Linked DNA regions of Stegostoma tigrinum. The protein of the gene in region 4 interacts with the protein of the main gene of each other region in a pairwise test. Links are inferred from orthologs where the notes say so. Each region holds a gene or a part of one and is shown on either strand. Other genes may lie near its edges.

Region 1 (7,652 bases), on a different chromosome or scaffold from region 4:
AGCAACCAGCAATCAAGGTCACCAGGGTCCTCCCTTCCCTCCCTCCACTCTTTTAGGGGAGGTGTGCTGGTTGTATAACTACCTTGTTAAGATTTTTTAAAAAGTCGCTGTTGCGGGGTATGCCTTCTCAATCCAGCCACGTCTGTGCAAATCTTGCGCTCATTTTTAAAAAATTATCTTTTCTCTTTTTCCCCCCCCCCCGCCAAAAAAAGTGATACCAGTGAACATATCTGCAGATCAGGCTGTTCGCGTTATTGTTTTTCTTTTGGGCGGGGGGGGGTGGCGAGAACTGGTGGTTGGTGGTCTGCGAGTTTTTTGACAGTGAATCCTCCCCCACCCCCCCACCTATGGAAAGGGATGAAACTCAGACAAGTGAAGCATAAACACGCGCACAGGCCCTGCGAAATATCTCCTTCCGAGTTTGCGGTGTGTTTTTTTGTTTTAATCCCACGTTACAACAGATCAATTTCCCATATGTTGGGATGCTGCTATGCTTTTTTCAAATCAACAACAGGCCATACTGCCTGCAATTTGACACGTGTTGTATAACTCAGTACTTGTACCCAGGTTTGTTTTTTTTAAATCTTATGCATTTTGTGTTTCTTTTGAATTTGTATTCAGTTAGATTTTGTGGTAGCTAAATTGCTGGCAATTTGTCATGGTTTGTTTAAGTGTACCCACTCAATCGTCTCAAGTGTGAATTACTGTTCAGCTGTAGGCAGTGTGAGGAGTTGGTGACTTTGTTGGGTTTAGTATGCACATATAGAACACAGGACCATAACGCATCATTCAACACCTGAAGGGGAAAAGACAAGTTTGAGATTTTTAGGCATGTGTTCCCTTTATCCTGATATAAACTTGCCAATGGCTGGAATGGAGGAAGTGATTCAGAACAGTCAGCAGTGATCAGATCTACTGCTCAAATTGTGATCTTGTGGAAGCTTTGTTTTACTTGAGATTAGCTTTACCTCTGCCTTGATCGTGTTTTTTTTTAACCCATAGTGTTAATCCTGGGGAAATGTTTTTAAATATTTGAGTGCATTAATATTGGGCACTCTGTTCAATATCGGGGTTTATGTTCTGTCATTTAATTTGTCCAAGATAGAGAGTTTGTATTCTCAGAGATGGGCATTCATAGATTTGGTGCTAAGTTTGAGTTGTTTAGGCCACTGCTTCTGATAGACAAGCATGCTGTATCAGAGCTGCCTCAAATAGGGTTGCCATCCTAAAAACAATGGGGGTTGTGATCTCAGAGACATGCATTTTGGCTTCCATAGATCTCCTCCAGCAGCAGTTGTAACTCAGTCTTCTCTTCTTACTCTATGCCCACAGATATTCGTTGTCTTTCTCTTTCCCTCTTCCCTGACACACATGGGTCTCACTGAGATAACAACACGTTGGGTTCATGCTGGGAGAAAGGTCGGGCCCACTGGAACGCTGTGTTCATGCTCTGGGAGATGAGAGTTTAACCACCTGTGCCATCTTGGCATTATTTTAATGTTAATGACCCAGGAGGATGAGTGCTTTCTGTTGCAATATTGGATTTCATTGAACCCATATGTTGCTATATTCAGTGCATTGCAAACCAATGCCTTGGAAAAATCAATGGACTTAGAACTGTATACCATTTAAATTCTGAAGTTTTGAAGCTTACAGAATAGCAGTGTTTTTGGAGGCAGAATCAAGCCTTTGTACCTCACTGCTGCATCTTGAGCAGCTTTTTTTTAAAACTGTGCTGTTATTACATGTCCTGGTAGATCTTTCATATGTAATGTTTTCTCATTGGTATACCCAGCTCAAGTGCAGCTTGTGTACTGCATTGCTTGATACTGTTGCAGAGACTTGCACATGGATGTTTAGACTACTGTGAAACAGGATGTTGAAGTATTGGGCCTTGATGTAGAACGTTGATCTGCATATTTTGACTTGCCTCCTAGATTTTGATAAGTTGGCTTGTGTGGAAACCATCCCTAAATGGCAATGCACTTAATGATTTTTTTCAATCCAGTGGGCAAATGATGGATTTCTTTCTCGATGAGGTCACAATGTTGTGTTGCAGTCTATTCAGAAGCAGCAAACATGACCTGACTGCAATATGCATGTGAGAATGAAATGAGGTAATGTAACAGAATATTTGGATGGATAAGTAAAGGTATATCCTTCTGGGAGATAGAACACTTTCCATTTTGGGAACCTGGTGTCAACACTGAGCAGCAACTAATGCTGTCTTTACAAAACCTCCAACAGTGTGGTTTTAGCCTGAGCTTCAAAAGTACTGACAGGGCACCTGTACTGTCATTGCCAGTTACTACTACATTGGCCAGTGCAGTCATGACCTTTTTCGTTGTGTTCCCTATTCTGAAGGGAACACTTTTTTTATAATCTGAGTCTAGCCTGATTTTGTGCATTGCTGTTTCATCTTGGAGGGCATGCTTAGTGTAGATTTACATAACTTTTTGTTTTTAAATAAAGCCAGTGTTTCACCTCCAACTGTTAATTTAGAAACTGGGAGAAACTCCAGTTAGACAGCATCCGTGGAGTGAGAAACAGTGTTAGTGTTTCAGGTCAATGATCTTGCATCAGGACACTTCTTCTTGTTCAAGTATTGAGGTACAATTAAGAAAGGAAGGGGCTCTGAAGGTGAGGATGGCAATCACAAGAGGGAGTCTTGGCGGTCATGATTCCAGTGAAGATTGTAACCCTTTAAAGGAACACCAAGGTGTTTTTTTTTGTTTAAGATGCCAGAAGAGGTACAAAATTAAGCATGGACCTGGGCAACTTTTGAGGTTGAATCAGTTGGTGTGCTTGAGGCAGAGATGAGGTGTATGTGTGTCAGTGAACAATGTTGAGCTGCACTAGGAGCATGGTTTTGGATTTCTGAGAGAACCTTGTGATCATGCAAAGAATGACAGAATTCTAGGTTTGAAGCCGGAGGCCATTGTCTGTAATGGAATTGTCCCTGTAAAAACAGGTGGTTTTTAGATTATGTCGCAGAAAGGGGAAAAGGAAAACCAAGAGGGTGAACAGGGTAGAAGAACCAAAAGGAGATCCCATCAGAAAGAAGAGTAGGACACCTGGAAGAGAAGTCCTAAACCAGAAGCAAAATGCTATGGATGCTGGAAATCTGAAAGGAGACTGGAATCCTTGCTGGACTTTATCCTTGTACAGGAGCCTCCTCCCATTCTGCTTTAGCTAACTGTGTAGGTACCAGAGATAATGGGAACTGCAGATGCTGGAGAATCCAAGATAACAGAATCTGGAGCTGGATGTACACAGCAGGCCCAGCAGCATCTCAGGAGCACAAAAGCTGATGTCTCGGGCCTAGAACCTTCTTCAGAGAGGGGAATGGGGAGAGGGAACGGGAATAAATAGGGAGGGGGGAGGCGGACTGAAGATGGAGAGAAAAGATAGGTGGGGAGGTAGGGAGGGGATAGGTCAGTCCAGGGAAGACGGAGAGGTCAAGGAGGTGGGATGAGGTTAGTAGGTAGGAAATGGAGGTGCGGCTTGGGATGGGTGAGACGAAGAACAGGTTAGGGAGGCAGAGACAGGCTGGGCTGATTTTGGGATGCAATGGGGGGAGGGGAGATTTTGAAGCTTGTGAAGTCCACATTGATACCATTGGGCTGCAGGATTCCCAAGCGGAATGAGTTGCTGTTCCTGCAACCTTCGGGTGGCATCCTTGTGGCACTGCAGGAGGCCCATGATGGACATGTCATCTGAAGAATGGGAGGGGGAGTTAAAATGGTTCGCGACTGGGAGGTGCAGTTGTTTATTGCGAACCGTGCGGAGGTGTTCTGCAAAGCGGTCCCCAAGCCTCCGCTTGGTTTCCCCAATGTAGAGGAAGCCACACCAGGTACAATGGATACAGTATACCACATTGGCAGATGTGCGGGTGAACATCTGCTTGATATGGAAAATCATCTTGGGACCTGGAATGGGGGTGAGGGAGGAGGTGTGGGGGCAAGTGTAGCATTTTCTGCGGTTGCAGGAGCAGGTGCCGGGGTTGGAGGGGAGTGTGGAGAGGGAGTCGCGGAGAGAGTGATCTCTCCAGAAGGCAGACAAGGGTGGGGATGGAAAAATGTCTTGGGTGGTGGGGTCAGATTGTAGATGGCGGAAGTGTCGGAGGATGATATGTTGTATCCAGAGGTTGGTGGGGTGGTGTGAGAGAACGAGGCGGATCCTCTTAGGCGGTTGTGGCGGGGGTGGGGTGTGAGGGATGTGTTGCGGGAAATGTGGGAGACGCGGACAAGGGCGTTCTCAACCACTGCCGGTGGGGGTGGGGGGTGGGGGTGGGAGGGAGTGTAGGTACCACCTCTGTTTCTGCCACACCCCACCATTTGCTTATTTCATATCCTTTTAAATGTATTAAGAATGCTGAATGACTTCAGTACATTGTGGCTCTTGTCAAAATGTATCTTTATAATTCTGCTGTGAAGTGCTTTTGGGTGGTTCACTTGGTTTTAAAGGTGCGTACAAATGGTGTTTGTTGTTGTAATGTGAGCTTGTTGACCTTAAGTTGAACCCATCTCCAGCAATGGACTTGGTATTCGACAGATAATTTGTGAATTCAAACTGTCTCAGGTTTGTTTTTGATTTGATGAGTGGCTAGTATGAAGACTTCAGCTGATTTTAGGACATTCTAACGTTGGGGTCATCAATGCGGTTTTGATGCTGAGCCATTCCAAAATTGTGCAGGAATTTCCAAATCCTGTAAAAATCTGGAGTGCCGAGTTTAAATTTGGGATGTGGTTTTCTTGCCTTGCATTCCAAAGGAATTATGCTGTAACTGAGATTTTCAAGTTATCAGCTCTGATCTGTTGTTGGCTTTGAACACTAATAGTTTACACCTAACAGCATACCACATAATTCAAAACATAACACTAAGCTGCAAAGGGTTGGCGATTGAAGAGCTGGGTTTTAAAGACCCTCCTTGAAGCAAGTCAAGGTAGTGGTGGAGGGGTTAGTGAAGGAATGTCAGAGCTCCAGGCCTGAGCAACTGAAATGGTGCTCACTAATGGCGAAGTGACAAAAATTGGAAAATACTCCAAGACTGGATTTAGATTGAGGTTGTGTGTGTGACTTTGTGGGAGCAAAGCTGTGGAGCAGGGTGAGAATTTGAAGATCAAGATGTCGTTTGACTAGAGCCACTGCAGCAATATAGATCCAGATGGGGATGACCAAGAACCAAACACACAGAGCAAATAGAACTGTCTCTGCTAATACAAGGTCAGAACTCATACGATTCCCAGGTTACATTCCAACAAGTTTATTTGAAATCTCAAGCTTTTGGTGCATTGCCCCTTCATCAGCCTGACTTTACTTGATAATAGAGCAGCACTCCTAAAGCTTGTAATTTCAGAAACTTGTTGAACCATAACCTGGTGTTGTGTAATTTCTGACTCTGTCCACCTGCTTCCAATGCTGGCATCTGCACATCTGCTAATGTAGGAAGGGAGAAAGGGTAATGTTGTATTTCACTTTTCTCACTGTCGAGACTATGATAATGAGCAAGTTCACAAAATGTGCCCTGCAATCCCACATTCGTGAGGGATTGGGTTGACTCCCCTCAAGGTCTGAAATAGGGGATGTTACAGTCAAATCTGCAGAAGCATTCTGAGTTTGCTGCAGCCCTTGGGAATCAAGTGTAAACCATTTGAGTGCCACTTAGCTCCCAAAAAAATTGTTTCAATTATGAATGTTCTTTTTGAGCTTTTTGTCAATAGTTGACATTTCTTTTCATCTCCTCCAATCCAGTAGCTGAGCTGCCTTTTCAATTTAGTTTATCCTGAATGGAGAGCTAAGTAACTACACAGTTAGCAACTGTTCAACATGGTTACTCTCTTTCTTCTTCTTCTTCCTCCCCCTCCTCCTCCCCCCCCCCCCCCCCCCCCCGATTTGAGTGATTGGTAGGCACGGTTGTGTTCTGGAAAGGTTACTGAATGAGAGCACTGCAGATATAACTTTCGACCTCACAGGGTTTTGCTTCATATTGTTTAATTTATTCCTCTTCTTCATATCACTTCATGATCTTTCCACTCCCTCCCTATCCTTGTAATTCACTCCAAACCTACAGCCCGCCAGGGAAATCTGCCTCTAATTTAGCCCCTGGTGATTTCCCAGTAGTTCCACCTTTTTTTTTTGGAGGCTGTGCCTTTAGTTCCTAAGTCTTGCAATATCGCTGTCCTTTAGGTTTTAAAAGTCTTTAAAACCTAACTGTCTAACTGATCTCTTATCTCCTTATGTATCTCTGTGTCATGTCCTGTAATGCTACTCTGAGTACCTACTGGAATTTTTTTTTTGCATTAATAACACTGTTATTGACAAGAAAAAATGCAGTGTTACCTTTTTTAATGGGTTGGAACTGAAGCAAAAGACTGTTTGTTTGCAAGATGGGTCAAATGGCCTGTTTTAGATAACTTCGTGTCTGGTCAGGAAGTTAGCTTGCAGGGTGGGTGGGGTGGTCACGTTATCTCTGGATGCCTGCTTCATAAAAATACAGAATTAGCCCAATGCCAAATATTTTGAGTCTTGCGTTCAGTTTTATCTGGACTTACTGATTTTTTTTTTAAAACAACTTGCTGAGCGGTTCATAATGACTATGTTTTTGCTTATTGCTGTGGAGAAGGATTTGTGTGAATTATGCATTCTTCAAATCAGCTGAGTGGCAGATTTTACCCTGTGGGTGCTAATGAGCTGGAAGTAATTGTGGGGATTGCATGATGGCGTTAAGGACCTGCCCATTCAGTTGCAGGCATGATTACAGTCTTCAGGTTTGTTACGGTTTCTACTGGCTACTTTGGGGATTGAAACAGTTTAAATCTGTATCCTAATCGGTCTTTGGAATATTTGCAAGTTGATGTGGATTTGAGGCTGTGGTATGTTTTATATGCATGTCCAGTGTGCGCGTGTGCACACACCCCTTGCTTGCAATGGTCATATACCTCAAGCCACTTTGCTGACAAGGGCTCACAGTTTTGTTTACTTTACCATGTAAGGGCAGACTTGAACCCTAAGTGCACTAAAACAGTTCCTTAAGTTGCAGGTGTAATCCCCACAAAAACATCATCTTCAAAGTTCTGTAAGGTATCAATAAGTCAACTCAACCTACCACCATGGATGTGACAATCTCCCATGGCAATCGGTGTTACCCTCTGGTTTTCAGAGCAAGGAGAGCAAACCACTTGAACAGCTGGTGATTGACTGACTATAGATCAGCATGGGCAGTCGTAGCAGCCAGCAGTTTTATATAAACCTAGTAACCTAGCTAGATATCCTTGTGGCAATCCTCAGGATGATAAATCCTCTCTCAAGCAGGATAGGAAGAGCATTGTCAGACAGGTAGGTCTTAAAAGCCAGGTGGAGTGGAAATGGATTTATGGAGGGAATTATTGAGCATCTGAAGGTGACGTGGGGTAAGGCAAGAGGTCAGAAGTGGAAAGATCTGCGATGGCTGGAGGGGTTTATACTGATTTGAGGGAATGGAGGAGATAGTGATTCAGATTTTTTTAAAGTCTCTATTAGACCGTAGATCTTTAAGCACAGTGATGAGTGAACAGAATATCTCTGTCCATTAGGAAGGGGCAGCAAGTAAAGTCTGGAGTGACTTTGAACAAGAGATAGTAGGAACTGCCAATGCTGGAGAATCTAAGATA
Region 2 (7,499 bases), about 1.8 Mb from region 4:
CACTTCACAGAGGTTTAGCATTAATCTGTTGCCAAACTGGCATGTTTCAACCTCACCAAAGTGTCCTATTTAGATCAGGGTAAATTGTTTCTAATGATGCCTATTTCTCAGTTCCTTCAGATATATAATTATAATTATTATTATTGTGTATACGTGTTACCAAGAGTAATCTGTGATCCCCACCAAAATAATTGCTTTAAATTCTCATTTTGCAAAAATACATGTAATACAGCACATTGGAGTTTTACCATTGTGGTCAGTGACAGCGCAAAAAATATAAATCCTAATTTAGCAATTTATTTCTATTCTTTCAATTTCTCAAAGATATTTCAATGAAGTTCCTCATACTACACGCAACCAGCCAACATAAAGCGTCTGGTGTTTTAAGACTGATTGTAATGCCAATGTGTGCACTAGAACATCTGGACTTTTCTTTTAATTATAACCAAAAGAATGGAAATACAACTGAAAGACTGGACAACAGATTGAACTTCTCAGTAATATTAAAGTATGTGGAAAATAAGAAATTAAGCCAATAACTAGATATTTTTGATGTGATAATGGGAACTGCAGATGCTGGAGACTCCAAGATAAGGAAATGTGAGGCTGGATGAACACAGCAGGCCCAGCAGCATCTCTGGAGCACCCGAGATGCTGCTGGGCCTGCTGTGTTCATCCAGCCTCACATTTCATTAACTAGATATTTTTAAACAGGTTCTTGGCAATTCTCACCTCTCAGAGGTTTAGGATTAACTTGTTTCCGACGTGGCATGTTCAACCTCAAAACTGAAGGAAGGCAGAGACAGAGATGGCGGAAAGGCCGCCTGGCGCTGACCAAACACCATCAAAACAACTGAAAGATAAAAATTAATATAACAAATGTCACATATAATCCCCCACATCTCAAAAACAGGAAGAAAGTACAAAAGCAATCTGCTACGAAGAAGGAAATAAGATCTGTCTCACACGATAATTAAGAGAACACAGCTTGCACTAACTCAAAAGTCAAATTTCGCAGTGTGCAGTGGTATGTAATGCAGCAGAAAACTAAAACTTTCCAAATCTGAGTCTTCTCACACACAATCAGTACATAGACTAATACATATTAAAAACATCATCTCCCAGACAATCCACAACCTCATCACCTCAAGTAACCTCCTACCCACAAACTCCAACCTCATAGTTCCCCAACCCCACACTGCCCATTTCTAGCTCCTTCCTAAAAATCCTCAAACCTGACTGCCCCGATTGAAAACAAATCTGATGTTGCCTGGCCTGCTGTGTTAATCCAGCTTTACACCCTGTTATCTCAGACTCCAGTATCAGCAGTTCCTATTAACTTTCTAATATGGAGAGATATGTTTTCCTTGCTTATCCAACTCCCAAATCTATTCACAAATATCCAGTGCAACTAGTCCTTTTATGATACATCTTACAATATAATCCTAAAACTAACTTTATTACAAACTAAAGACAAGTAAAGGAATAACACAATATGTTCACAGTGTTTGCAATACTCCAAGTCTTTTCCCAGATTCACAGTATCAAGTTATCAAACAAAAGCAGTGTTTCCTCAGAGGATACCAGCAATATTGACTATAATTCAAAAGCACCTAATTGCAAATATTCTGCAAAAGCAAATTCTTTTTAGGTAGAAACGAATATGCGGCTTAGTCAAGACTCATGGATTTTCATACAGGCGGTCTGAGGTCTTGGTAGAGCTACTAAATCTGATTACTTGAGCAGTTTCCTCAGCAAATAAACCGCAGAGGGTGCGCAGATTGAAGCCACATTGTAAAAGGTTTGCCATCCAAATTTCAAGTTGGACTCCACGTCAAACAAATACAGGATCAAACGTAACCAGATGAAGTAACCTTTATTGAAGCACATTCTTCAGACAGACAGTTTTAAAGTTGAAACAAATCAACTAAGATGGATTCAGAGGGACAGACGTTCCTCAATTCTGTCCCCAGTCACTTCAACATATGCCCTGAAACCAAGGTTGAATTCTGCTACACCTGCTCCCCCAAACAGGTTAGCTGATGGCTGGCAAAACTCTGAGCCCCCAGAGCATTGTCACTGGTCCTAACGATAAAAGAAACGTTAAAACAGAATGCAAAACACTCCTGGCCGCTACTGTTGCCTCGAAAGCAAAGTGATTCACTGCAGATCTGGGAGGTCTGCTCTTCCAAATCTCAGAGCAATAAATGTCATATCTACGTAAAGAAGAATGGCAAAGTAGCAGAAGACAAAGAGGCAGTAAAAGTCAAATGATGTGATTAAAGGGAATCACACTGAAGGCAGATGGAAGGAACAAACTACAAAGCAAAATGAAATTAGAAGTAAAAACACAGGCAAAAGAGGCAGAGAATCGGAGCAAGGCGTCCGCGGGCAGGTCACTAGTTTTCACAAGAGGGGTACAGCAAGAGGAGAAGGTGCAGATCACAGTTGAGAAAAGTCAGATCTAAGAGAAGGGTCTGATCACACGGGGAGGGGTAGATGTAGGGATTTGATAGGTGTCATGAATCAAGGAGAAATCATGAATGGGGTGGGGGAGGGGTAGCCACAGAGAAGGAGCTAGCACGGAGTGGGAGTAAGAATTAATATCCCATTCAGCAGGCCCCCAACCCCGGGCGAGCGAGCCAGCCACTCCCTCATTCTCACCTCCTCCTTCTCCACCTCTTCGGAGCCGAGGCTGAAAGCGGCTGCCAGGTTGCCCCATGACGTCAGCGGAGCTCCCGCCCCGCCTCTCCCCGCGCGCATCACCGGGAGGGGCGGAGATCACGTGGGGGAACCACGAACAGCGACCGCCCCGCCCACAGGCAAGGAGCAGCTGTTGATTGGCCGGTGTCGGAACCCCCTCAGAGGGGCCCTCTGTAAATCCCTCGGAGTGACGGATATCCCGGAGGTTCCTCGCTGTCAGCTCACGTTGTCCTTCACACACACTGGGCTTTCCCATTGCTTCCAGGTACTTCAGCACCTCCCCCAGCCCACACCACACACATTTACAGCAACAATCTTTAAAAATCACCAACCAGTGGAAAATGCACCGTGTAAGAACTCCTGTCCGCGAAGCAGATTCCCGGCACTGGTCCTGACAAACCCCGTTAGCAAAGGAGGGGGGTGCCCGTTTCCTTTCAGACCCGGGTTGTTTCTGACGTATAAAACCCCAACCTTGTACGTTTTTTTTAAAAAATATAAATTGTAACGAGGAAGGCGGAACGGAATCCTCTCAAGGGCAGCACCCAATAGCCGAGACGAACAAGCTCTGCCTTGCGAACTCGAAGACCCCCCCCCCGCCCCACAACCTCTTTTCCTGCCCCCTCCCCAACAGTCTCTCGATCCGGAAGCAATAGGCGAGAGAGGGCAGAAGCCTTCCGCAGCTTATCGAAAAGAGGAGGGAGGAAAATACTTAAGGAAATTACAGTCTGGAATTATCCTCTAGAAAACGAAACATATGTCACTCGAACGCACGCAGTTTCCAAAACCATGCTGAATTGTATTTTTCCCCCCCAAATGAATTGCTGGGATCAACTATTAAGACATAAATAAATTTCACAGGGATCGTTTTTAAAACGAACTAAAATATTCACTTGACCCTGAAGACTACAAACAAGCGCGAAGTTTTTGCACTGGCCGTGACTATTTATGTGCGTTTAACTGAAGTTTTTAAATGGAGCGACCAGATAATTCAGAAATTTCCAGAATAACACGTCAGTTTTCGACATGAACATGAAAAAAATCTCATCATGTCCCTTAAGTACTGAACCTAAATATTTAAAAGTTCCCAACTATAGCAGAACTTTATATAACTCAAAATTCACATACAGTGATTTTGTCACTGGAAATACAACAGAAAACTTTCCCTCTCTAAACCTCCCAACACCACCATCACTTTAGTTAAATCCCAACACAGACCAGGACACACAAAAAATGCACGGCTCAAGCAGGGTGTTCAACTGGGGAGGCCGAATTACATTAAAAAGGACAGTGGAGTGATAAAGATTGCCACAGAACAAGAATTCCAAAGGAAAATCCATAGCAGTTCGAAAAAAAAATCTTTCATTTTACAGTTACTGATCTGAAAGAGACCGAACATAAAGGAATGGAATTTTCTGCCTTTGCGAACTAATGATTTCCAGCCTGAATGGGTGTAAACTTAGAGCACAAATAGCCCACAATTTGACACTATTCGGCGTATGAACCACAGCTCTTTGTTGGTGCAATAACAATAACTGGGACCAAAATATTGAGGACTATAGTAGTGTTCTCATGTTACTTTTTAAATAGTCATGTTATTTAAAAATAAATGTCATTTTCGTTTAATTTTGTACAGCACTGCTCACCCTGACCTCAATGTTTGATGACTGTTTGCCTTCAAGACACCACAAGGAAGCACTGTAATATTCTATGCATCGATGGGCTGTGAGGTGTATAAATGCAACTTTTTCTGGTTAACACAATGCTAAAACCTGCACAACTTTATGTGCCTTTATTAGAAATGATGGTGCATGACAGCCCAGCAGTTCTATGGGTTAGGTGTTATTTACACCAAGTGGAAGGATGTTGTCCCAGCCACAGCCAATTTTTTTTCATACTACAAAATAAATCTGAATCTAAAGCCAGTCTCAAGTTGTCCAACCGTTCAGCCACATTAGTCATTACTTCCCCCCCCCCACCCCAGTAGCAAGGTAACATGTATAATATTACAAGGATTATAGTTCATCATTATTGGCCTAACCAAACATGGTAACAAGAATGAACATAGAGACAGAATAATAATTATGCTAGAAATTTCAAGCAAAAACAGAAAGTTTAAAATATACATTTGATCAACCACATAAGGTAGAGAAACAGACTAATGTTTGAGTGATAAACTCTGCTTTAAGTCAGTAAACATAAGACAAAGAGGAAGATTGATATTGGAAAAGGAATGTTGTTAAAGGTTATCTTAATGAAATAATAACATGACAATAAAGAGTAGAATGTATAAGTAGCTAAGTTAGTGTGAGGCACTGAAAATACAATGGGTAAAAATGAAAATTGTAAGTGCCTCATTTTGTTTAACTGTCAAAAACTATCAAGAGATTGAGAACAAAGATGGGTCAACATAGAGTCATACAACACAGAAACAGGCCATTGGGTCCAACAAGTCCATGCCAAACAATCTCAAACTAGTCCCAACTGCCTGCTCTTGGCACATATCCCTCCAAATCTTTCCTATTCATGTGCCTATCCAAATGTCTTTTAAACATTGTAACTACACCCACATCCACTATTTCCTGAGGAAATTCATTCCACATGTGAACCACCCAACAAGTAAAAAAAAAGTTGCCCCACATATCTTATTAAAATCTCTCTCCTCATCTTAAGACTATGTTCCTAGACTTGAAGTCCTACATCTTAGGGAACAGACTCTACCATTAACCCTATCTGTACACCCTCATGATTTTATAAAAACTTCTAAAAGGTTACCTCTCAACCTCCTACACTCCAGTGAAAGATGGACCAGCCTATCCTTATAACTTAAACCTTCCACACCTGCAACATGCTGGTAAACATCTTCTAGTTTAGTAATATTCTTCCAATAACAGGGCAACTAGAACTCAACACAATACTCCAGAAGACACCTCAGCAGTGTCCTGTACTATTTTAACTTGACTTCCCAATACCTATACTGAAACAACTGAGCAATGATGTCAATCATGCTAATTGCCTTTCTATGTGACACAGGCTCCAAAGAATTAAGTATCTCAATCCTTGTGTCCCTCTGTTCTACAACAGTACTCAAGACTCTACCATTAAAAGTCCTGCCTCTGTTTGCTGTACCAAAACACAATACCTTGCATTTATCCAAATTAAATTCTATCAGCCATTTCACACTCCATTGACCTATTTAATCAAGACCCCTTTGTAATCTTAGATAACATTCACTGTCTACTATGCCATCAATTTTGGTTTCATCCGCAAACTTATTTAGATTTACCTAGATTACTTACAGTGTGGAAACAAGGCCCTTCAGCCCAACAAGTCCACACCACCCCTTGAAGCATCCCACCCAGAACCATCCCCCTATAACCCACACACCCCTGAACACTATGGGCAATTTAGCATGGCCAATCCACCTAGCCTGCACATCTTTGGACTGTGGGAAGAAACCCACAGTCACCCAAGGCAGGAATCAAACCTGAGTCCCTGGCACTGTGAGGCTGCAGTGCTAACCACTGAACCACCACACCACCCCCATGCCTTCTATAATTTCATCCAAATATTTATATAAATGATAAACAAAAGATGACCAAGAACCAATTTCTGTGAAACACCATTACTACTGTCCTCCAATCTAAAAAGCAATCTATCACCACCACTCTCTGTTTCATGCCATTAAGCCAATTATGCATCCAATTGGCAAGCTCACCCTGAAACCCATGTGACCTAACTTTACTAATTACTATACCATGTGGAACCTTGTCAAAGGCTTTACCTAGAAAACAACACCTTCTACCCTGCCCTCATCAATCTTTTTGGTAACTTCCTCAAAAAATGCAATCAAGTTTATGACATGATTTTCTTCACACAAAACCATACTGACTATCCAAAATCAATTTTTGCCTCTCTAAATGTTTATAAATCCCATCTTTTAGAATCACTTACAATAACTTACCCACAAACGAAGTTAGCTTCACAGGTTTATAGTTCTCTAGTTTCTCCTTAAAATCCTTCTTAAATAAAGGTGCAGCATTAACCACTCTCCAGTGATCAGACACCTCAACAGTAAGTATAGATGGTGCAAATATTTCTGCAAGGGGTCACTGCAGTTTCCTCCTTTACTTCCCAAAGTATTCTGGGATATATTAGATCAGATCCTGGAGATTGTTCAGCTTTGTCTTCTTTAAGATCTCCAGAACTATTTCTGTATTCTGTAATGTGAGCTGTTTTTAAAATATCAATATTTATTTCCCTTAGTTTTTCAGCCTCCATTTCTTTCTTCACAGTAAAAACTGATGCAAAATATTCATTTACTATTTCTCTCATCTACTAGGATTCAATGTGATTAGCACACAATTCCTCCACCTTGTATTTTTCCAAAATTGTTCTGAAGAAACATCAACTTCCAGGGCCACTTCACAACTCCAATGCCTTCTACAATAGTAATTTTAGATTGATTAGATTAGATTCCTTATAGTGTGGCCCTACAAATCCACACCGCCCCTTGGAGCATCACCACCCAGACCCATCCCCCCATAATTCACACACCCCTGAACACTATAGACAATTTAGCATGGCTGATCCACATAGCCTGCACATCTTTGGACTGTGGGAGGAAATCGGAGCACCTGGAGGAAACCCACGCAGACACAGGGAGAACGTGCAAACTCTACACAGACAGTTACCCAAGGCTGGAATTGAACGCGGTTTCCTGGCGCTGTGAGGCTGCAGTGTTAACCACTGAGCCACTGTGCCGCCTGATTGGGTCTGTAGTTACCAGGGTCAAGGTG
Region 3 (8,067 bases), on a different chromosome or scaffold from region 4:
TAGGGCAGCCACAAATTGGGCTATGGACTCTCCTTTGTGTTGTACCTTTTTATAAAAACAAAAACATTCTGTAATCATTGACTGGTGGAAAATAGCTCCCCAACACTTTGCATAGTTCTTGGTGTGACTTCTCTGCAGGTTTCTCTGGTTGCACTGGAATGTTTAGAATTGCAAAGATCTTGCTCCTAACAGAACTCAAGAAACACAGTAAAATGTCTTCAGCCACCTTATTCACCTTTAAAAATGCATCAAATATATTCAGTGCACAGCATCCAACAATCTGTCTCTTTATCAGATGGTACGACCACTCCAAATGGCTGCCATTTTGTTTTCCCACCAGTGAACGTTTTTCCCTCAACTCGAATCTAGTAGCCATTTGCATCCTGAGTTTCCTCGGTGAACAGCTTTACATCAGCCGCTCTATCAACAGATGTGACAATGCAACATTCTCTGGCGTCGCCTGGGGCTCAAGTCTTCTTGTGACGACTTCAGTAAGCTCCTGGTTTAGTACTCCCCTCTTCAAATGGCATTATGGGTCAATCTACAGCACTTGGGCTAAAGTGCTTCAAGAAGGCAGCTCACCACCATCTTCTCAAGGGTACCTAAGGTTGGGCAATAAACACAGGCCAGAAAGTGACGCCCATGTCCCATGAGTGAACAAAAAGAACAAGGCTAATTACTTGAGACTTTGATGACTTACAGACATTATAGGTGGACATTCCCAGATGGAGTACACTAATCCTGAAAGTGTATTAAGTCATTTTACCATATCTTCGTGGAAATGTACAACATCGGTGACATTGTGATGATATAATTGGACTAGTAATCCACAAGTTCAAGTTAACTTGTGAGGGCAACAGTTAAAATTCACCCTCTTCCATTGGGCAGAAGATACAAAAGTTTGAAATCACATACCAACAGCTTCAAGAACAGCTTCTTCCCTGTTATCTTACTTATGGACAGACCTCTAATATATTAGAGTTGATCTTTCCCCGCACTTTCTCTGTCGCTGTAACACTGTATTCTGCATTCTGTTCTATTACCTTGATGTACTTATGTAAGGTTTGATTTGTCTGGATAGCATGCAAAACAATACTTTATATTGTATTTTACTGCAAGTAACAATTCATCAAATCAAATATTCAGTAATAAATCTAACACATAAAGCTGGTATCAGACAAAGTGTGGGAACAGGCCATTTGGCTCTTTAATGGCGATAACGATCGACTACCTAGTAAAAACCCATCAGGCTTATGAATGAAATTTGAGAAATTTAGCATGCTTTCCCAGGGCTGATCTACATAACACTTTAGCTCCACATAATATGTTGTCTCTTAACTACCCTCTGAAATAGTTTTAACAATCCACTCCGTTCAAGGTTCACTTGAGGACAAGCATCAAATGGTGGCCTTACCAATGACCATACCAATAACAAAAAATGACATAAGCTGCATTTTTACAGTATGATAAATTTCAGAGGTGTTTCTGAAATTGTCCAAAGGGTAAAAATGCATGAGGAAAGCTTTTGAATTTAAAGTAAAATGCTTTCATGGCCTGAATGATGCTTTAAGTGGGATATGTTTCATTGAAATTGTTCAACTAAAAACAGACACAACTTGGTACCAAAGTAAAAAAACTTTCAGGCATTTTCATAATGCATCCTGATGATTTCCTAAGAGACAGTTCTGTGGGAAGTGAAAAATGTACTAGTAAAAGATTTGACTTGAGTCACAGTGGTAGAGTTCTTCTGAGCTAGGAGGCCTGGGTTCAAGTTCCATCTGCTTTGGAGGTGTGGAATAACACTGGATGATTAGAAACATCTGCCAATCTTAGCATTTTTAGTCAGCCTTTGAGCATTTCAAATATATTTTAAAAAATTGAGCAGAATAGGTCGAGCAATTTTGATTCAGCAATCCTATTTTGAAAGTACTGCTCTTTTTCAAGGTTGATTATTTTAGTTAATCTTAAAACAAACAAGTTCTGAAGCGTGAATGGTCTTTTGAATTGGTTATATACTCAAGACGAGATTCCATTTTTATACGTATTGGGCTATATACAATATCCCGCTACTCTGTAATGGGTTTTGAATAGCCCACACCTCCGTCGCTTTATAACAGTCCTCTTTAGCTTACATACCAGTGAGACCCCACGCTCTCTCCCACATCTGTATTAAGCGTCTAGCCAACCCGTGCTCTGTCACGGGCCTCCTCTGGCCCAACCCCAAACTCCCGCTCCGTATTCGTCCTCTTTCTTCTTCTCTTCTCACCCCCCCCCCATGGCCATACTCTTTCTTCTCTTCTCTCCCTCTCCGCCCCCCCGCCCCCAATTATCGCGCCTCTTCCTTGCGAGATCGTTGGCTCTCGCGCTGCCTTTTCGAATTCTGACGACGAGGCGCGAGTCTAACTGTCGCCCGAGGCGGTACTCCCAGTTCTGGCCAAGTCCTACTCGAGCGGTCTGTGTGCTTCGATGTTCTGTCACTGTGAAAGACCCGCCCCGTCACCAAATCTGTCATAATGTGGAAAATACCAGTTTACTTCCCGAGCAACTTCAGCTTCAAAGTAACGTGCGGAGGGCGGCATCTACAAATTACATCGCTGTCAGATCTATAGAGATTTTAAAATTGCGCCTAATGATATAATTTATCGTGCAACCGCTCGTAACACACAACTGTCTGGAATACGTTCGTAAAATACCAATTTTGGGAGAGAGGGAAAAACGCCCCAGGCTCTCAGCACCGTTTTGAAATCGCTTTTTTTCCTTGAAGGAAGTACCACTGGGTAGTCTAGACTGAGTAACAAAAGGAGAGAGACTTTTGGAATCAAGATTCAGACAAATCTAGGAGACAGGTACATTAAAAGAAAACATTCGAAAATTGGAGCCATTGCCTATACCAAAATCTTTGATTGATACAGAGAGTTTCCAAGTAAACTTGATCATTACCTGGATAAACCAAGCGAAGGAATTACTCAAGGATGATGGGATGCATTTACGAGGGGTCGCCTACCAGCTTTATTTGAAGGAAGTGGTAATCTGAGCGCACTTTGGAAAACCCACGTGACATGGTTGTACTTGTAAAAAGTTTCTCATTAAGTTGTGCCCAAAAACGGAAACGGTGTTTCATGCAATATACTTTAATGGCTCTACTTCGAAAGTGAAAGCAACCTACAGTATAGGTCACATGTCTATGATAAGCCGCAAGCGTACCAGGGCAGAAGTGCATTTCTTCAAACATCCCTATTTTCGTTAGAAAATGCAATCATTTGCAGTTGTAAGGTATCCTACATATTGGGAAAAACTAATTATCGAAAACGTTTGTTAATTTTCGTCTATCCCTCTCATGACCATTTGCACAGGCATTGCACACGCATTCATGCAGATCTTATGATGTTATGTGTGCACATTGTTTTTGGCTGTTTGTGTGGAATCTGGCCATTCCTGGAGTGATGTTCCATCTTTAGGGAGTGTCATTCTGATGACTGAGTTGACCTGGTAACTGTTGGTGCTTATCCATTGCCTTGCTGGAGAACAGTGGACTGCTAGGGCAGATAGTCATTCTATATTTTGTGCAGTGAGGTGACATTTATCTTTCTCATCGGCTGTCTACAGTAAAGGAGAAACTTCATCAGTTATACGTATATGTCCACAAGTTGCAGTGATATAGCTAGTCACTCAAATTCACCAGGTATGCTTGAGATTACAGGTGCTCACAGAGTCCTAAGTTGCCATTTGGGTTAACCTTGCTTGAAAAAATTGAATGTTTGCATTCTAACTGGCTATCCAGTGCTCAGCTTTGGTAATATTTTATCAGTTTTATGAAGAGAAATCTCTCTAGATACATGTGGAGTGAATTCAGCTTACATTAATGTTTTGGATATAAATGCAACTGCTTGTCCTTGCTGCATAAGGCTTGCTCCAAATCTGGTCTTCTACTACATCACACTGTAACTGTGTTCATTGTTGACACTTGTACTTTAGCACTGGCATTGTCAGTCCTAATTGATTGTAAGATGAAGAGCTTCTTGTTCTGTGTTCCAATGCCATCCTTAACAAAAAACTATGTGGAGGTACTCACTTTGATGACAAATAAAGCAGAAACTTAGCTCACAAATTGTTGCACCACTTTCATGCCAGATGGTCATTGCTCCTCCAGTAGAGTTCTCATCTTGATAACAAGGTATAGAGCTGCAGGAACACAGCAGGCCAAGCAGCATCTTAGGAGCAGGAAAGTTGACATTTCAGGTCTGGGCCGAAATCCTGCATCTGCAGCTCCTATTATATCAGACTTCTCACCTTGTCAGGATCCAGGTGAAGCCTTTTTGCCATTATAGAGTCGTACAGCACAGAAACAGACCCTTCAGTCTAAACAGTCAATGCTGATCATCATATCAAACTAAACTAGTCCCACCTGCCTTCTGCTGGCCCATATCCCTCCAAACTTTTCCTATTCTTCTATCCATCCAAATGCCTTTTTAAATGTTGTAATTATACCCGCATCCACCACTTCCTCAGGAACTTCATTCCACATGTCAGCCACCCTCTATGTAACCTATTTGCTGCTTATGTTTTTATTTTAAATCTCTCTCCTCTCACCTTAAAAATGTACTTTCTAGCCTTGAAATTCCCCATCTTAGGGAAAAGACAACTACCATCAACTTTATCAATACCTCTCATTATTTTAGAGACTTCTATCAGGTCACTTGCCAAACTCCTATTCTCCAGTGAAAAAAGTTCCAGCCTATCCAGCCTTTCCTTTTAACTGACACCTTCCACACCCAGCAACTTCCTGGTAAATCTCTCCTGAACCCTCTCCAGCTTGATGATGACTTTCCTATAACTGGATGACCAGAACTGGACACAGTACTCCAGAAGTAGCCTCAGCAGCATCTTTTACAACCACAACATAACATCTGAATTCCTATTCTAAAGGACTGAGCAATAAAGGCAAGCATCCCAAACACTTTTTTAACCACCCTGTCTATACGTGAAGCAAACTTTAAAGAAGTACATGCCTGCACCCCTAGATCCCTCTGTTCTACAACACTACCATTAATTATATAAACCTACCACTAATTATTGCCATTAATTGTATAAACCTACCCTTGTTTGTTATACCAAAATACAATACCTCACATTTATCCAGATTGAACTTCATCTGCCATTTTACAACCCAATTGACCCATTTCACCAAGATCCCTTTGTATGCTTAGAAAACCTTCTTGACTATCTACAATGCCACCAAATTTGGTGTCATCTGAAAACTTACTAACCATGTCTTCAATAGTCTCATCCAAATTATTTATATAAATGACAAGCAAAAGAGGACCCAGAACCAATCACTGTGGACCACTGCAACCCTCAGGCCTCCATGTGAAAAGCAACCCTTCACCATTACTGTCTCCTGCCAATAAGCCAATTATGTATCCAACTGGCAAACTCACCCTGAATGCCACGTGCGCTAGCTTTACTAATTAGTCTCCTATGCAGAACTTTGTCAAGGGCTTTACTAAAATCCAAATAAACAATGTTTACTGCTTTGCCATCATCAACCTTCTTGGTAGCTTCCTCAAAAACTTACAATTTTCCTCACACAAAACTATGCTGACTATCCCTAATTGATTTTTGCCTCTCTAAATATCCATAAATCCTATCTTTTATTATTGCCTCCAACAATTTACCCACAACCGAAGTCAGACTCAACAGTTCTATAGTTCATTGGTTTCTCCCTACAACCACTCTTAAACAAAGGTTAACAAACAACATCAGCCACCCTCCAGTCATCAGGCACCTTACCTGTAGTTATAGATGATGCAAATATTTCTGCAAGGTGTCTTGTAATTTTCTCCCTTACTTCCTCCAATATTCTGGGAAACATTCCCAGTGATTTATCCACCTTTATATTCTCTAAGATCTCCCAAAATTCCTCTTCTGTAATGTGAAATGTTTTTAAAACATCAAAGTTTACTTTTGTGCATTCTCTAGACTCTATTTCTTTCTCCACAGTAAAAACTGACATGAAATATTCACTAGACTGCACCTCCTCTCACCCACCTTCCTGCAAGAGTGCGATCCCATACTCCCAATCCCTCTACCTCCGCAGCTTTTGCTTCTAAGGTGAGGCATTCCACTCCTGAACATCCCAGATGCCCTTGTATTTCAAGGACCGCAGCTTCCCCCTTCAGTGGCCAAAAATGCTCTTGACCACATCTATTATGTTTCCAGTACCTCTGCCCTCACATCCTCTCCCTGCAACAAAAAGAAAGATAGAATCCTCGTTGTCCTCAAGTAACACCCCACTAACTTCCGGACTCAATGCATCACTCTCCGCCACTTCTGCTACCTGCAATCTGACCCCACAATGAAGGAAATATTTCCCTCCCCACCCCTATCTGCCTTCTGTAGGGACCGCTCTCTCCAAGAGTCTCTTGTTTTACTCTACACTCCCCACTAGCCCCACCACCTCTGGCACCTTTTCCTGCAACTGCAGGAAGTGCTTTGCTTGTCACAACACCTCTCCCCCCACCTCCATCCCAAGACCCAAAAAAACATTCCACATCAGACAGCTGTTCACCTGCACATCCGCAAATGTGGTCTGTTGCATCCACTGCTACCAATGTGGCCTCCTCTACATTGGTAAGACAAACCAGACGTTCGGAGACCGCTTTGTGGAGCACCTGCGCTCGGTTCACAACAAATGTAGCACCTTCCAGTTGTGAACCACTTCAACTCCCTCTCCTACTCCCTGGATGACATGTCCATGCTGGGCCTCCTCCAGTGACATAATGGCGCCACCCGGAAACTGGAGGAGCAGCACCTCATGTTCCGCCTTGGGAGCTCTACAGCCGAATGGTCTCAATGTGGACTTTACAAGCTTCAAAATCTCCCCACCCCGGCCTCATCCAATGACTAATCCTCCCTCTCATCCCCTCCTCCTTGATCTGGTCGCTCTCTTTAGTAGTTTTACCAAATTCTGTTTGTGGTTTTTCTGACTTCTTCCATCATGTTTGCAGATATGTAGACTGTTGGATCATCAATGATAGTTTCCACACTGGAAAGATCACTGCTGATCTGTGCTAATTCTCTTCCATAGCCATGGAAATGTCAAATGGCATGCTCAACCATCTGGATCTCAAAATTAGCATCCAGAATGTAATTAGAGATATTTTCCTATCAACTTGTTCAGACATGTTATTGTACACATCTGGAGCAGGTGGGACTTGAACCCAGGCTTCTCAGTTCAAGGGTAGGGACACTACCTCTGTACCAGAAGAGGGCCTAAGAATGTTGTTAGACCTATTGTTTTTCTAATCAGTCTATTTCCGAGATGTTTTTGCACACCTCTGGAACAGGTGGAACTTGAACCCAGGCTTTCTGGTTCAGAGGTTGAGACACTACCAGAGCAGCACAAGAACCCTTTCAGAATGTAGTTAGAATATTTTTTCTAATCAATCTGTTTAGCAATGTTGTTGCACACATGCAACTTGAACCTTGGCCTCATAGTCCAGGTGTAGGGACACTACCACTGTGCTGCAGGAAGGCCCTATAGAACATAGTTAAGATATTGTATTTCATCAATCTGTTTAGTGATGCTATTATACACCTCTAGATGTGGGAATTGACCGCAGGCCTCTTGGCTCAGAGGTAGGGAAATTTACAAGACCCCCCAGAATGTAGTTAGACCTGTTTCTTTTCCAATCAATCTGTTCAAAGGTGTTTTAAATCTCTGAAGCAGGTGGGACTTGAACGCAGGTCTCTCAGCCCAGGAGTAGGGACATACCACTGAGCTGCAAGAGGGAGCCAAGAATGTTTTTCGAAAACTACTACTTTTAGCAGCTTCACCTGCCAGTAACAATCCATTTCACTGAAGGTAATGGAGTTCAACCTGGATAAATGTGAGGTGATGCATTTTGGAAGGTCGAATTTGAAAGCTGAGTACAGGATTAAGGATAGGATTCTTGGCAGTGTGGAGGAACAGAGGGATCTTGGTGTGCAGATACATAGATCCCTTAAAATGGCCACCCAAGTGGACAGGGTTGTTAAGAAAGCATATGGTGTTTTGGCTTTCATTAA
Region 4 (7,225 bases):
GTTCTATCTGTCCTCATTTAGTCACATTGGTTCAGAATGCTCATCAGTTAGCTTGTGCTGCACCAGCTGGCCATGCAGAAATGTTTCTGCAGAAAAACAACTTTGACCACAAGTTAATCATGCACCGAACTGGAAATCAACCTACTTGAGATCCTGCTGGAAAGGAGATAGTGGATCTATTAGATGATTCCTGCACCAACATTTTCAAACAAGTGCCAGGACTTGGCTTGGCTGCTGAAGAAAAGGGCACTCTGTGTCAGATCCTGAACACATACCTAATAACTCCATGCCAGTATACACTGTCCCTGTGACAGCTGAGCTGGGGAAGAGACTATCACCCCTATACTTCCAGAATGTGCATTGCATCTGGAAAGTAATGTAAGATTTTTGTTTAAGTTTACCTTGAACAATTCCTTATCACAGGACTCTGCTCCACGGATAGTTCTCAACAGTGCACACCAAGTAAATATTAACTGCTGCTTGATCCATAAACTTGCTGAATGACAAAGAGCTGAATACGACTGATTGTTGCAGACTGCCAAATTCCAAGGTGCAGGATGACATATAGTGGGATGCTGTTAACCTGAATGCAGCCACTTGAAAGGATTATTGGTAAGGCTACAGTACAGAGCTTTGCTACCCTTGAACACAGAAGGGCTAGAGCCAATATAAGACCCCTCAAGATTTATATGTGTATCTGAAATTAAGCGCAGAAAATATACAATTGTTGTAACACAAAATGAGGTTATTGAGCCTTTGCTAGCACTGTGCAAGACCAAATTAGCTAGTTCCACACAAACAGAAACAGAAACAGAAGTGGCTGGAGAAACTCAGCAGGTCTGGCAGCATCTGTGGAGATAAAACAGAATTAACATTTTGAGTCCAGTGACCTTTCTTCAGATCTCCAGCATCTGTGATTCTTGAATTTATTTTAGCTAATCCCATGATCTAACCTTTCTCCATAGTCCTGCAATTTATTCTGTTCAGATGCTAATCAATTCCCTTTTTAAATCCATGATTAAAACTACTTTCACCACTCTCCTCATAGTATATTCCAGAATCTAACCACTCACAACATTGTATATTGTCCTTATATTGCATTTAGTTCTTCTTGTCTTTCATCACAATCAGTATCTTCTGTTTCTCAACCCTTCTGCCAAAGGGAACTTTCTCTTCGTCCAGTCTGCAATAACACCATTAATGCTTTTATCACCTTTATCAAATCCCCTTTCAATCTTCTCTCTTCTAAGAATAATCCCAGTTTGTCTAATCTTACCATGTAACTGAAGTTCCTCATTCACAGAATCACTGTTGCAAATCCTTTCTGCATCCTGTCTAAAGCTTCACATATTATAAATAGATTATATCCAACAACTCAGAGTAGTAAGGGTATGGAACGCTTTGCCTGCAACGGTAGTGGATTTGCCAACTTTAGTACATTTAAATCATCATTGGACAAGCATATGGATGTACATGGAATAGTGTAGGTTAGATGGGCTGCAGATTGGTACGGCAGGTCGGCACAACATCGAGGGCTGAAGGGCCTGTACTGTGCTGTAATGTTCTATGTTCTATATAGTACTTTTAATAGAATAAAATGATACAGAGCACTGCATAGGAGCATTATAAAACCAAATTTGGCATGAAGTCAAGTAAGGAGATACCCACAGGTGACCAAAATTGTGTTTAAAGAGAGATGTTTTAAGCAAATTTCAAAGGACAAAGGAAAGGTTTTAAAGGAGGAAGTTTCTGGCAGTTGAAGACACCAGTACTGCAGCAATTAACAACAAGATGCTTAAGAGACTAGAATTGGATATCTGTAGATGACTTAGAGGGTTGGCGGGCTGGAGATGAATTCAAAAATAGGGAGGATTGAACCATGGGTGAGATTTCAAAACAGGTATGGGAATTTTAAAATCAAGGCATTGCTTAACTGGAAGCCGTTATAGGCAAGCAAAGCAGAAAGATGAAATGAGCAGGACTTGGGGCAAATAAAGGCAGAGGTAGCAGAATTTTGGATGGCATCAAGTTTACAGAACAGAAGAATGGGAAATAAGAAGATATGAAAATGGGAATTGATGGTCATAGTGATGTGCAGACTGCGGGCAGAATCTCCATTCTGGCTGGAAGTTTTGTACCGTCTGGCTCAGATTTAAACAGGCAGAAGATGCAGTCAATGGCAAAGAAAATGAATGTATAACGTGGGTTAAAGAAGATTGGTTCAATTTTCCCAAAGCTTAATTGGAGAAAAATAATGTTATGTAAGTGCAATATTATTTTTGTGCAGTCTGTATGTTCCATGGAGTAAGGGATCCTTGAGTGCATGAATTATATTTATTTAAATTGATCTGTATTCAATGTATACTGAATTATACTGTAATTTTATAATTTATCAATATATAATTCTGGGACAAACAGGCTCTTCTAGATCTAAGAACCAAAGTTTAAGACTTTCCAACATGTGTTTGATTTACTGAAGAGCCAGGGTCCAATCTATCCTGTTGGTATTCCCCATCCCGATCATCACCCCTTAACTATCTTAGGGTGGGATAATGCCAGGTGCATGCAGGCAAAACTAAGGAATGACCTTCACATTACAGAGGTCAAGGTGATTTGCAGGGCACCTTTTACTGATTCCTATTCCCCATTTAAGATTGTGTTTTTAAATATGTTAAATATGCTAGTTAATGCTATGAGAGTTAGCCTAAAGCTAAATACCATATGTTGCCATTGTAGAGTGCTGTACAGTCCCAGTAAACCATGACTAAGCTAATTCATCGCTCTGTATCAGTTCATAAACCAGCTGGCATTTTAGAATTACGTCAGAAATGAACAGTACAGTCAGTAATCTTATGAGTTTCCATATGTTAGTGCTTTAAGTGTGCATTTAATGGGAGCAGTTGATTACAGGGAACTACCACAGTCAATTCTATTTGTGTTTTATGTTGCATGTACATTTATTAAAAATATTGTGCAGCATCCTATGTATAAAACATTTTCTTTAAAAAATGATAAAACCCAGAACTACATAAATAGGTATATATCTCAACTGCCACTTAGTTTTTTCAAATGCATTTATCAGGACTTGACGGCTCTTTGAATCCTTAAGTTTTACAACTCTGAGTACATTCAGTTTCCAAAAATACATGTATTACGTTGAAAATTATTATACTATAATTGGAACACTGAACGTCAGACAATTCCAAGCAATTGCAGCTTAGAGTACTAAATTGACGCATTGTAATTTCTGGGAAACAAAAAGCTTTAATTTCATCCATGTAAATAAGGTGTTGGAACAGGATCCACTGACATTTCCACTAGGAAAACAACAGTAAGACTGTGTCCAGCACTTGGTGTTGTAAAGGACAAACACACTGCAGCAACCCTAGTGTGTGAAGTCTGCACTGCATTGAAACATTACATCATCCCTGACCAATCAGAAGTGAATGAGTGACTGGGAGCGATTCCAGCTGTTTATGTTGCTCTCAGGAAAGAGTGAGCGCGGCCCTTCAGCTGGATGGGATATTCCTGCAGCGTGTTTCTGTTTAAAGGAACCTTTCCAAAACTGCTCCACTAACGCCCTTTTTAAAGGGATATTCCGCAGTTCACTTCAGCAGACAGCGCATTTCGAAATCAAGGATCACATCGATGACGAAGGCAAAGTTTTAACTGCAGACGTTGGAAAGATGAGTGGGAAAGGCAATCTCATACTCGAAATCAAACCTTGAAGGGTTCGGCTTTGAAGTATAAATTGGGTTCAAGTGAAAATGCATGGGTGTCATTGGAGTAGAGCGAGTGGAATCCAAAACGCACATGCATCACACACTTACACCAGTCGTTTGCACTTGGGACAGTTTGAATTTGAGCATTTCCTCCATTCAATAAAATCCATACTTCAGAATGACAAAAGCTTGTTAAAAGCTGAAAAAAGTTCTACTTACATAAATTGGTTCATACATATGTTGATATATTTATCGTCTATTCAGATTCATTTTACCTTTCTATTCGGCCCCATTTCTTCCACTTCAGCACAGTAAGTTCCTGCATCGGACGAGTTAAATTAGTTGGCAGCTTGCAATCTGCACTGTTGCAACAAACACGTTCTATTGTACTGCCCTAGGCAAGTTACTCGACTGGCTTTTAAAGGACTTCTTGGTTGTACTGTACACGTGACTTTTACAAGTTTAACTTTACTTTCAAAATTTATCGCACTCCTGCGCTGACGCGTAGATGTATATACCATGCCCGTACATAACACACTGCAATATGTTGACTGTGTTCTGTTGCAATTAGGACTTCTTTACGTAGTTTTCTTCTAGCCCTCTCAACGCGCTCACATTAATCTCTGGATCTGTTGGCAGCCGGCCAGTATGTGTGTTGTCTTGCATCCTTTGCATATAGTAGAATCCTTAAGCTATCAGCAGACGCAGCCAAGTGCTCCATATTTGGCTTATGTTACACACACGCAGTGAGAGCGAGCGCTGGAGGAGAGAAGCAGAGCAGGAGTGGTGTCTGCAAGACAGACATTACTACAGAGCTACAAGCTCGGCTTCCTTCATCGCGGAGCGCCACGTCTTGGGCATCACCGCCTTTTTGATGTTGTAAGTGTTTTATATAAAGAAATATATATTTTACGGTTCTTCTCCAGCGACATTGGCTATTTGCTTTCATTTCCTTGCTCTGTGTATGTGTAGGTTGTTATGAAATGGCTAGGCTCCCTCTTATAGTACAAACACAGCCTTGCTCAGAAATCTGATTGAGAAAACTGTGTGTGTATTTTGTGTGGTCTGTGTGTGATTATGAAGTGCTGCCCTGAGTATGTGCTGTGATGTTTTCGTCCGGGTTGTGTGTGAGTGGGGAGCGTTAGGATTGGGGTTGGGGGGACGGCAGGTAATGCTTGGGGGATGATGTTTTGCTGGGGAGGAGGCGGATGGGGGTGGGGGGTTGGGTGCTGGTAGGGGTGGAGACTGAGGGGATGCCGCGGCAGGGCTCGGGAAACGGCGGCTCGTCAGGGAGCTGACCGCTTGTTTAATCGGGTCATGTAGGAGACGGGCTCGCCAGAGCGTTGCGTAATCGGGTAGATAGGGCTGGTCTGCAGAAGGGAACATTTTTATCTTGTTTACAACGCTGCCGATACATTGTAGTGCGATATCTATGCGGTCAGACCATCCAAGCAGACAGTGGCACCACGCAAGTCTCTTTATTGTTACTACCTCGGTGACTCATCGGCAAATCTTATTCCTCCATCTGCTTTTTTCTACAACATTATTGCAGGCTGTTGGTTTTGAGTGTGTGTTGAACTAGGTCGTTATCGATGGCCAATAAGCATATAAAAATTGTTGGACTTGATAAATCTCAGCACATTTGTCCAAAGGACCTATTGGCTCCAGAATTTATCTGTAGCCCTTATCCCACAAACACGTCAAGAATTTTGTGTTTAAAATGAGTACAGTTTGTGTCAAATGAAAGAGCAACAAAGGGCGGCGAGATCAGTTTTTGTCCACTAGCATTATGCGTCTGACACTTTGACTATCCACCCTCCCGTCATTCAAATGCAGAAATTCAAGGCAACACCACATTAAACAAACACTTAAAACAAAACGTGGACATTGTTTTCTGGTGAGTCAGTAACTCCTCTTTCTGAGGCAGAGCTGCTGCGTAAAAAGATCATGAATGAGACTGGGAATACTATAATTATTTCCAAGCCATTGCATCAGTGTTGACAATAAGCAGTTAAAAATACATTAACTGTGTGTTAACATGTTCAATGCATTGGATAATGAAAGTCTCAGAAATGATTTCCATGTGTGGAAGTTCTTGGAGAAGCTGTCGTGTGCACTACACGTACAAAGATGTTGGTGTAGGATTTCATTGCGCTACCCCTGGACCTGATCAATCATGTAATTAGATCAGGTTGCCCTGGTAACTGACGTTATTTATCTCTTCAATGAGGTGCGCATGCTTATCTTGTAAAAGAGCTTGTGTCCTTCGGCATATTTCATACTGTAAGTGCCGGGTGGTCACATATTTATCCATTATTTTAAAATGGATTGAATCCGGTATTTATTTCAGCAGTAAATAAACATATTTGTTCGAAGTATTTCAAGATAAAAGGCCTTGTAACGTGTATACATAAAATACTAGCTGATAGCCAATCAAGGCCGTGTGATGGCAAGATGCTGCTGTGAACACCGCTTGAAGGCTTGCTGTTAAAGACCTAACTTGGAGGTGGAGTGTGGGTTATGTGAATCTGGCTCATTGTAACTGTTTAGAAACTGTTGAGGTCAGTCAAAGGGCAGTTGTAACTAAGTTTTAGGTGCCAGATCAGCGACTGCATTTACTGTCCGTTTAAAAAAATGTATCCAGTAGCATGGTGTGACGTAGTGTCTGGAATGTAATACATGCACCACACTGGATGCAAGTTTTTTTTTATACTTTTGTGTTTTCGGATGTAATAGTTATGCATGTTAGAATAAGCCACCTAGGTGTCTAAAAAATTATGTTGTATCTGTGGAACACTTGAGAATGTAGTATTTATTGTGCTGGAGATTTTCAAATATGATCTAATTTCTATTAAGTGGTAGAGATGTACATAGAAGGATATGATAGCCACATTTTCAATTTTGCTTTCTTAACAGAATCAATATAGATACACAATATATGGTGTTGTACAAAGTATCCACATTAAGTCTTCATGGAGATATTTAACATAATCTAGTGTCAATATCATAATTTGTGTTGAGTACGTTTTGGCTGAGGACCATTGGTGATCAGCAGTGAATTTTGAAAAATAGCTGTGTTTTGGCATGCATCAAAATCAGTACATCTTTTAGTATGAGCTGAAAGTAGGTGAGGCTAAAATAGTATCAGAGATAATGGGAACTGCAGATGCTGGAGATTCCAAGATAATAAAATGTGAGGCTGGATGAACACAGCAGGCCAAGCAGCATCTCAGGAGCACAAAAGCCGACGTTTCGGGCCTAGAGGTGAGGCTTGTTGTTGCTGGCACATACTTGAATGATTAATCTTTGTATTCATTTGAGTGATTAAAAAGAATCAATTACCTATACCTACGGGTATCAATCTCAGTATTCTATAATCAGGGAGATCATTCGGATACAAAGGAGACAGCTGAGTTGAGTCACAGTAGGTATTCATGTTTTTTATGTTGCCCTTACATTTCTGGAAATAAAATGCCAATAAGATAGGAGTGTCTTCAGTTGGC

Evidence for each region.
Region 1: the proteins of atxn1a (region 4) and anp32a interact in binary tests that used the Homo sapiens proteins (3 or more experiments, as listed by UniProt). The link is inferred for Stegostoma tigrinum from reciprocal best matches to the Homo sapiens genes ATXN1 and ANP32A.
Region 2: the proteins of atxn1a (region 4) and hivep1 interact in binary tests that used the Homo sapiens proteins (3 or more experiments, as listed by UniProt). The link is inferred for Stegostoma tigrinum from reciprocal best matches to the Homo sapiens genes ATXN1 and HIVEP1.
Region 3: the proteins of atxn1a (region 4) and mettl27 interact in binary tests that used the Homo sapiens proteins (3 or more experiments, as listed by UniProt). The link is inferred for Stegostoma tigrinum from reciprocal best matches to the Homo sapiens genes ATXN1 and METTL27.

Annotation. Positions count from the first base shown.
Region 1 is NC_081386.1:29,268,042-29,275,693, forward strand, and holds the start of anp32a (acidic leucine-rich nuclear phosphoprotein 32 family member A), read left to right. Parts: upstream 1-4,379; 5' UTR 4,380-4,409; coding exon 4,410-4,466; intron 4,467-7,652. UniProt on the Homo sapiens protein: Multifunctional protein that is involved in the regulation of many processes including tumor suppression, apoptosis, cell cycle progression or transcription. Promotes apoptosis by favouring the activation of caspase-9/CASP9 and allowing apoptosome formation.
Region 2 is NC_081355.1:40,247,138-40,254,636, reverse strand, and holds the start of hivep1 (zinc finger protein 40), read right to left. Parts: upstream 3,271-7,499; 5' UTR 3,036-3,270; intron 2,757-3,035; exon of another isoform or gene 2,665-2,756; intron 854-2,664; 5' UTR 773-853; coding exon 733-772; intron 1-732.
Region 3 is NC_081380.1:14,972,879-14,980,945, reverse strand, and holds the start of mettl27 (methyltransferase-like protein 27), read right to left. Parts: upstream 3,132-8,067; 5' UTR 2,941-3,131; intron 2,258-2,940; exon of another isoform or gene 2,137-2,257; intron 1-2,136.
Region 4 is NC_081355.1:38,405,206-38,412,430, reverse strand, and holds the start of atxn1a (ataxin-1a), read left to right. Parts: upstream 1-4,164; 5' UTR 4,165-4,601; intron 4,602-7,225. UniProt on the Homo sapiens protein: Chromatin-binding factor that repress Notch signaling in the absence of Notch intracellular domain by acting as a CBF1 corepressor. Binds to the HEY promoter and might assist, along with NCOR2, RBPJ-mediated repression. Binds RNA in vitro.